2 linked regions of the Drosophila melanogaster genome follow. The protein of the gene in region 1 purifies or fractionates together with the protein of each later gene. This does not show direct contact. Each region holds a gene or a part of one and is shown in the gene's direction. Other genes may lie near its edges. The genes, in order: Dlish and app.

Region 1 (4,384 bases):
ATGCTACAATTTATGCAAGGGCGACTGTTGCATGTTAATTTGAATTTACTTCCGGGCATATATTTTATTAAAATATGCGTGACAACCGAAAATAGCTGACCCACAAAGCCAGTGAGCCACTTTTTCCGCCCCGGAGCTGGCATTCTACCCCATTTTCCGCCTCATTCCTCTTAATTTGGCCCGCTGTCTAGTCTCATTTTTTGGCCATCAGAGGTCCGAGCAACAATTACCCGCAGACACAACAGCCATGATGAGTGTGCTGGGCGAGGAGCACCCACTCGATTCGCCCACCCAACCACCTCCTGCCCCGCCCACTGGCCGCCCCTTTTTGTGAATGGCATCCGAGGAGTGGAGGACTGCGCAGAATCCTCTCTATCGATTAAAGCCCAACGCAGACAGCTCTCTCTAATAAAACTTGGGATAGGGCATGGGGATGGGTTTCTGGGATGTGCGATGTGGGCTGTGGGATGGATGATGTGATGCGGATGTGGAATCAACTGCGTAGTAGTCAAAAGTCAAGTTGAAGGGGGTCTTTTGGGGGTGTGGCACCTGCTGCTGATGCTGCCACGCCACTGCTGCTGGTGGGATAATGTTCGAGATGCTTAATGCGCAATTTAGTTTGGGGTATGTGCACATGGGGATACGACGAAGTGTAGGTCAGTTTGGACACTTTCTCTCTTTGGACCCATCCTCTCTTGCTGAGACTCTTTGTTTCCTTGCCCTTTCCATCGAAATTCTCTCGCTGAATTATAATCGAAAATTGCATGCGAAAGTTTTATCCTTGGCACCAAAATAGTGCATTGGCCCCTCTTTTTTCAATGCTGTCCAATAGCGCAAGTGACGCTCGCTAAGAATGACGAGGTCTCAGTGGGGCAGAGGGTTTTAAATGCACTCTGAATTAAATGTATATATTATGTTTATACTACTAAAAGTATTGCTTAAAAAATCCAGATATCTCTAACCTATTATGTTCTATTACATTACAAAATTCACATATATTTGGACTTTTAGTTACATCACTATAATACAATATAAAGTTTTAAATAGAGCTCAGTAGACTTTGGATATACAGCCATTACTATCTAGTAAAGTAACACCTTCCAAACACAATTCATAGCGCCTGGAGCTAACTCAAATCTATCATTCGTTCACATTTTGTATACGACTAAAATGGTGGTTGTACAGGGAATGTACGAAGTCACGGAGCTGGTGGCTGGCAGCGTGGGATGCGTGTGTCTATACATCGCCGGATGCAATGTGCTGCCCATGGAGCATATTCCCGATCTTCCGTCGGCGCTGTTCGTCCTGACCGCCGTGCTTTTTCTCCATCATCTGAGGGTAATGAATTGCGCACCGCTGCAGAAGCTTTGGCTTTTGCTGCTGGAACTGTTGGTCTTCTATATGTGCACCCAGGTCGTGGTGCTTGTGTGGCTCCAGTTGCTCAGCCATATGAATAAACTGCGGGACAATGCAGTTAATACTCGTACCGGCATGTACCTTTTTGAAGCCTATCCAAAAGTCTTTATGTTTTTGCGCCAAGATGTCTACTATTTGGGGCAGCTTATCATGTCCGTGGCGTGCACCTACAAGGCGATAATGGTCACTCATGCCCTGGACTACGCCCTACCAAATCGCCGGACGTACAGATACTATGAGACAGATGAGAACTTAGGCGATGGTCCGCGGCGTCCTACCCGAAAGAGCAACCAGCGATCAACACCCAAGAAGAGCACCGTGCGTGGTCGCAAAAAATAGAAGCTGTCGCAGAAACTGGATCAATCAAATCGCCCAATCTAAACACAGTTTTTCTATGCTTTCGATCATTGAATTAGCCCACAAAACACGCGTAATAAATTATCAAGGTAAACGGCGGCCCGGGTGCATTGCACCCAAATCGAAGGTGCTGCTCAAGAGCAGTTTACGCTTTACTAGAAATTTGCATGCTTGAAAGAGCAGAGCCAACACGTACACACAAAACCAACTTATTTTCAAATTTTGGCGCCTCGCGACAATCGATTAACGGACAACATCATCAAGATCAGCCAATCGTATGAATTCCACCTCTAACACCAGAGAATATTGAGAAGAAGAAGAGCGTTGTGTCGGATCTAAACAATAAAGAAATTAAGCAATTAGCCGAAATTTTGTTGTTTTTCGGTTGAAGGGGGTTTAATTCCGAGTGGGGGGAAGAGATGGCATTTCTTTGCCCCGTGCGCATGAGGCGCGACAAGAAGAAAGGTGTGTTCATAGAAAGCGGAAGAAGCAGCACGGAAACAAAAGACTTCAATCACGAACTTGTTGTAGGAACTTAAAAAAATTGAAATTGTTTAAATCTGTTTATTGGTGCATTTATTTTGTATATCAATGTACAAGAATTCTTTTTGAATTAAATATTTGTATTCAAGTTTTTTTTCTTGAAACTATATTATGATTGAATGCATAAGATATACATTTTATTTTAAATTTAATTAAATACGACATATATTGTACCTAAATAAGCATTTTCAAAATACTCCCTTTTCAGCTACAAATGCCAGCATTGAGAGGGACTTACCAGCTGTGGGTGTATTGGGCATGGGCCGCATAACTGGTTCCTCCAGCATTGAAACACTTGTAAGAGTGGGCATTGAAAAGGAACACGGTCTAAGGTAAGTCGATCCCATCCATTATCAGTTTAAATAGTCTGTACAATATTAATTCTATTTTAGTCCTGATTCCAAGATGGTTGTGCTGCACGACTTTACTCCTTGCGTGGATGATGAACTAGAGGTGAAGCGTGGACAGCTGGTTAATATCTTGTACAGAGAGAACGATTGGGTCTACGTGATTGGTCAGGACTCTAGGCAGGAGGGTTTCATACCCTTCTCTTATTGTGCTCCCTGCAACACGCAACTGGCGGATTTGGCTGTTAAGAAGAAACTGCCAAGGGAACAGTGTCCAGAGCAGCCGATCGAAGAGAATATACCACTTTTGGGCACGGATAACAAGCTGGATGTTCTTTGCGATGAAACCTTGAATCCTGGCTCCGCCAACAGCATAGAGAACACCCTGCTGGTGGAGCCAGAGTGTACTCCTTTCGTGAAGGAACCCTCCGGGCGCTGTATCGTCTTGTACACCTTTATAGCCAGGGACGAGAATGATTTGTCTGTGGAACGGGGTGAATTTGTTACCGTGCTAAATCGCGAGGATCCCGATTGGTTTTGGATAATGCGCAGTGATGGCCAGGAAGGATTTGTGCCAGCCAGCTTTATTTATCCTGCAGACAGTGTACGAGTTTTGCAGCAACAGAAAGCCACTTTAAATGCCATGGAGACCATTTTGCAGCAGGGTCAACAAGGTCAGCAGAGCCAGCAACAGCAGCAGCCTCAATTGGGCTTGGGAACAGATGATCTACGCTACCATGGCACGGAGCTGGTGATGCTGTATGATTACAAAGCGCAAGCTCCAGACGATCTGTACCTTTCTGTGCGGAGAGGAGATTGGATTTACGCAGACTTAACCAATCAGACTGTTGATGGCTGGCTTTGGGCTTATGCTCCGAAAACCCGCAAATATGGATTCATCCCGAAAGCCTATGCCCGACCACCCGCGATGACCAGCCTTTAAGAAATAGATTCAATACCATAATCGTTTTAATTATCACTTCGACTAACACTAAAGCGTAATATTCGTAAGTCTTCCAAACACAGTCGAATTGCATTTCGAAAAGCGTTTCTTTGTGGCTTGGATATTTTTATCTTGAACACTAAATTAATTTTCAACTCATAAATGCCATTTTCATTGAGTAATAAATTGTGCCTTAGATTTATTTTGTATGTGAGTTTGCATAACATATCGTATACACTTAGTCTAGTGATTTCATTCTTAACTGTAAGTGCCTCGTAAACGAATATCAAAAATATCTACTATCGTATTCCATATAGTACCAGCGTGGGCAGCACTTTGCTAGCATCTAGGTCTAGATATGAATACTAAAGCACTGTAGGGGCCAACCCCTCGATATGCACTTGGTTTGTATTATTGTATTGGATTTGCATCCAAGCGGCGCAGTTGCGTAGAGTTATGCTCAGCATAATGTTGTACGCACACGCACGTCCAACTGGATTTTGGTTATCACCTCCGATTGGCGAAGGTCTACTTTATTCCCAAACTGTCGCTAGCTGAGGAGCAGTGCGAGCAATTAAGCTCCATATTTCTGTAGAGAGAGATTGGCTAATGAGATTTTTGCATTTGTAAAAGAAATTGTTATCCTACTTCATAGCTTCTCTCAGCTGCTCCTTCTCGTTCATCTCCTCGCGCAGTTTCTGCTGCAAACTGAGAATGAGATCGTTTTTATTTCGAATCTGCAGCTTCAGATGCTCAATTGTCTCCTCCTGAGCTTCGA
Region 2 (5,107 bases), on another chromosome or scaffold:
TACCATGCTCTTCTTGATCTCGTTGAGTAGGCGATTGTAAAAATCGCAGGTGACATCGTGAATCTCGGTCTCCTCGTACCGCTGGGCCTGTCCAGGCGTAGGAGTGGAATCCGAGCTGGGTTCACGCTCTATCTTGTCCAGCTTTTTGTTCGCCTTTTGCTTTTTGGACTGCGAACGGGAGCTGGCATTACTGGAGTAATTGGAACTGGAGGCGGTGGTGGTGGGCGTGGAGTTCGAGGGTTCGGTGGTACTGGAATCGGCGGACTTGGCCAGGGGCATCTCTGCACTCACCGCCTCTTCGCTGGCGCAGTTGATGGTCAGGCTGGCTATGTTGCGCAGATTGATCGTGCCATTGCAATTGTTGATTGTGATTTTTGGCTTGAAGCGCTGTTTGCGACCCTTGCATTTCGGTGGTTCTTGTACGCTGCTCTTTGATTTGGCAGAGGTTTCTCGCCCCAAGCTGGAAACGGCTTCGGCAATCGAAGATTCCAACTCGTCATCCAGCTCCTCCAAGTTTAAGGGCGGCACATATGTATCCCTCTTGATCTTGGCCTTTTTTATCAGATCCTTTGCCTCCTGCAGTGTAATGTTGATAATGGAGCGCTTGGCATTATCTTCGACGAGACTTCTGTTGCGAGAGAAGTCGACCACAATGGCCTCTGGTGGGGCACCGTCTTCGTCCAGATCGAGATACGATACTTGCCCATCCTGCAGGCACTTGTACATGGTCTCGTGGTCATCTAGTGGCTCTATGTAGTCCTCGTTCCTCAAACCCGTGGTGCGGTAATCCTGCAGCGCCAACTGCATATCACTGTTGTCCAGCAGAAAGTGTCCGTAGCTTCGGATGGCTGTCAGTAGTTTCTCCTCCGCATCCTCGCTTTCCCCGGGAATGAAACGCACACCACTTTGATCTTTCTTGCCAACCGAGTTCGAGTTCTCCATTTCGGTGGGCGACTTCTTCAGCAGCTGCTGCTGCTGTCGCGTGTTCGCTATGACCTCCAGTTGCCGGAGCAGCAACTTCTCGCGCATATGCAACGCAGCACGGATTTCATTGAACTTCTTTTGTACGGTGTCTTTGACCTGGGCGATGAAAAATTGGGGCGTGTATCAGTAAACAGCAGTCAAAACACACAGTCCATTCGGTTTTAGGGGGCTGAATATAAAAAAAGGAGAGTACAAACACAAACCTCATCCAGATTCTTGTCCATTTCGTGCGTGCTACTAAATACTTTCTCCTTTCTAAACGCTGCGCATTTTTTTTCATAAATTCCTGTGTATCAATATTTTTTGTTTGATCGATCAGCTGAGTTGCGGAGTGCCCGCCGCTTTTAGCTAATAAAAAACCAGAGGCTCACAAGGACTGGTACTTGTAACTGGTCACACTTTACATTTGGCGGGAAAATTGAATTTGCAAGTTTGATAAGAACATATTTCATATTAAGTATTATTTTGGCTTTATGCCAAAGATTCTGGTAAAGTTGTATTTAGTAAAAACACTTTCATATTCCTCATTAACGATCTTTCTGTTTTACTACAAAAGCACAAGCAAAATCTAGCAAAATAATATAGGCAGCTCTTTAAAATTGATGAAAGGCTTTGTGTTTTATTTATTAAATTATTTAATTATTATTTATTTATTTAAATTATTTAAAATATTTTGCCGGGTTGTTCAAACTTTTAACGTTAGCGGAAGTGCAAGCGCTGCCACCTTGTTGCTGCGCTTAACAGAGAGATCATACTTATACCGCTACGACACTACATTGTGGAGTCCAGTACAATGGAAGGAATTGGGTTTTAAGATTTCAAAAGTCTGAATTGTTAGGGCAAACAATAAGCACAAAATTCCAGAGATGAACTAGTTTATGATTAATTAAGCTCTTTAGAAGCATATTAATTTATATATCAAATGTAGTGGTGTCACAAGCACTTGAGCGGCTTAAAAGTGTGTGACCGTATGGCAACAGTAGAACAATCCACATTACAGAGCTCTGTTAGCATTGCAGAAGTGTTTTAACACACCCGAAATTCGGACACACCGTCGTCAGTTTGTTTTCATTTCAACTTTGCGTCGGGTTCACTCCAATTTTCGCACCGGAGGCGCGCATTTCAATTAAATTCGGGAGAGCGCTGAATGCGCACGCTGTTTCCCTAAAAGTTCAAATATTTAAAGACGAAAAACATTGGTAAATTATTTTGGTTATCCTATAAAAAAAATAAAAGATTCGCACTTGTGTTGAAAATACATCGGTAAATCCGATAAATCGCCGGGAAAATATGAAGAGATTTTGGCGCTAAATGTGTTCAAAAACAACTATTAATATAAACGTTTTTAAAATATTGTTGTGTGTAAAAATATAGATTGAAGAATTGACGTTCAAAAGCAAAAGCAAAACAAATCGAAAATCACCGCTTCCACGTATTTCTCAGCTGTCTTTGTCTTTGGCTCTGCCGTCTCTTTTCCACACGTCGCGGCGCCCTCAAGTGTTTGGTTTTGTAATTGCCTTTGCTTCGCGAAACTGTGCTGATTTAAATGTTTTTTTATGTACCGTTCTTAAAGTATTATTTCCCCAAATGCAGTTGAAACATAACAATTGTCGCGTGGCTTTTGCAGCGATGAGCAGAGAGAAAAAAGCAGCCGTGTTTAAATAACAATAGTCATCGCTTATTGTTGTTGCCCCAACTAATTTGAACTGTGCATGTGTGTGCGAGTCTGATTGTGCTTGTGTGAGAAGGCGCGTTGGCGTTTGTTGTTGTTGTTTTTTCTTTGCTCAGCAGCTCAGCACAAAAAATCCGAATGAAAGAAATATTCAGAGAATTTTGAGTTTGTTTCTCGTTCTTCCTGCCAAAGAGAGAGAAGCATAAAAAGAAGCAACAAACAAGACAAAACAATAAAAAAAAATCAAGGGAAACACAACACACATGCAAAGCAACAAAAGAAAAGGCAAATAAAAGAGAGCGAGAGAGCGCGAATTGTGTCAGTGACGCCAAAAAATTTAAAAATATCAATAATGCCCACCAGTGTTTTATTTTCGTTTCGCCAAACGGTTTATAATTAATTAACTGCAACTATATTTAATTGGTTTTGTGTCGGCATAGTTTTTATTGCTCTTTCGATTGTGTTTCCGCTGCATTTGCCGTCGTTCTGCCTTTGCGATTGCGAGACTGTCTTTGCAAATTGTCTTTGCGTCGGCGGGTCGTGACTGGATTCCATTGAATATTTTACAAACAGATGATGCATGTGGTTGTGTACGTATGTTTGTTTGTTTGTCGCCTTTAAAACCACATGTGCTTGGGTTGATTTCCTTAAAAATATGCTCTATAGGAATACAGTTAGTTGCTGCTTTTCGCTTTCTTGACTAGCATTTTTTTTATCGCGTCTAGCTTTCCGGTTTTTCCCTTTTCTCTCCCCTTTTTTTTAGTTCCATCTTGTTATCATCGCTAAAAACCTGTTTTGTTTTGTTTTTTTTTTTTTTTTACTTTTTTTTACCTGGTCTCCGGGTTTTTAAATTCGAAATTACCTCATTTTACACCTCAATCGCGGGGTGCTTTTCATTTAGTCGCTGCGACTAACCCACTAAATTGAATCATTTTTATTTCACCCGGATTTGTAGGTCGTCGAAATGTTGTTACACTTTCGGCGATTTCAAGATATCGCGTAAATATTTATCAGAAACGAAAATTCAGAAGTGTAAATATGCGATTATTGAAATCAAGTCTATAAACATCCACAACTGAGCCACCAAAAATTGTTTATTTTCCTGGAATTTTTACCTGTTTAGGGAAAGCAATAAAATGCGCAAGTAAACATGTAATATATAAATATGAAATATGTATATTTTAATGTACAGCAAATATCCGCAAAATTGACTTATTAATTAAATATAAAACTAGCATTGAAAATATTAAATATTCCAACATTGAAAACAGCACAGTTATAACACCTTAACTACAAAGTAAACTCGACAACCAAATGAAGACAAACCAATATCTACTGTATATTATTTTAAAAACTGTATAATCCACAACTATTTTAACCGAAAATCTGTAAAAAGAAGTCCATTAAACTATATTTTCGTGAAATTAACGCGTGTAATCGAAAAGCATTCGAGTACTTAATCATCATCGAAGGCGAATGTCGAAAAGTGTTCCGAGGTCAATGTTTCTGTTTCTGCTGCTGGCAACTCATCGCCTAAATTAAGTACACAATCTGCAGCGAGGTGAGTTTTATTCAGATATATATATATATATTACATACTACACCCCTGACCCTGGCCCCACTTATTTTGGAGTATTTCGAAATGCCTCCCACTTGTATTTGCTGCCCCATTGAGAGTTACTCGTAACTCCCTCTATATTTGTATATTTACCACTATACCACTATCTGTCTGCGAATCGTGTGAAATTGTGTGAAATACTTGCGATATTGTCGACATTGTGCGATGAGTAAGTTCAATACAAGTGGGCTAAGTACACACACAAAGCAACTTGAATGGAGACGCTAAACATTTTCTACATACTAACTAAAGCAAATACATCAAATGAACTACGCAATTATTTGCCTGGTAATATCAATAGGCTAATTTTTATAGGACTTCAACATTTTCACATCAGCTTTCTTCATGAAAATTTTGAAAACTTGCCTAAACATCGTGAATGCTGATTTACTATCAATGTTGCTATCAATCTCGAACTTTATTAATACTCAGTTTTTATATATGTTTCACTTCTTATCGAATCAAGATTGCCATGTCAGATAACTTACTTAACTTTTCTAGACATTGAACATTATTTTTTAGGTTCAAGGGAGAGTTCTATGTACTTATAAGTAAGGCATTAATTATGTAAATTAATAAATGATGTATCCACAGTATTTATTTGTTAATGCTCGAGCAAATAAAAGTCGTTAATAAATTCCATTTCGCAAATAATGAGCTCAGCAAGCATTTAACTCTTAATTTTTTTTTATTTATCATTCGATTTCTGTTGCGAAAATTGCAATATTCGGTTGATTTACGTTAATTTTGCATCTTTGTTGCCGTCGATAATTAATGCATATTAACTGCACTTAACGCGACATGGCGACAGTATACATAGGTATTCCTTTTGT

What was found.
Region 2: the proteins of Dlish (region 1) and app purify together in Drosophila melanogaster (affinity purification with western blotting; one study listed by BioGRID). This does not show direct contact.

The regions. Positions count from the first base shown.
Region 1 is NT_033778.4:17,721,248-17,725,631, forward strand, and holds Dlish (dachs ligand with SH3s), read left to right. Parts: upstream 1-2,061; 5' UTR 2,062-2,192; coding exon 2,193-2,238; intron 2,239-2,524; coding exon 2,525-2,648; intron 2,649-2,708; coding exon 2,709-3,606; 3' UTR 3,607-3,809; downstream 3,810-4,384. Other genes in the region: CG10934 (uncharacterized protein), read left to right, coding at 1,171-1,755; Snx16 (sorting nexin 16), read right to left, coding at 4,135-4,195, 4,255-4,384. UniProt on the Drosophila melanogaster protein: Required for the apical cell cortex localization, total cellular level and full activity of dachs.
Region 2 is NT_037436.4:12,263,731-12,268,837, reverse strand, and holds the start of app (approximated), read left to right. Parts: upstream 1-1,996; 5' UTR 1,997-2,183; intron 2,184-3,091; exon of another isoform or gene 3,092-3,246; intron 3,247-3,927; 5' UTR 3,928-4,217; intron 4,218-5,107. Other genes in the region: CG32100 (uncharacterized protein), read right to left, coding at 1-1,080, 1,188-1,208. UniProt on the Drosophila melanogaster protein: Palmitoylates Dlish which is required for the apical cell cortex localization, total cellular level and full activity of dachs.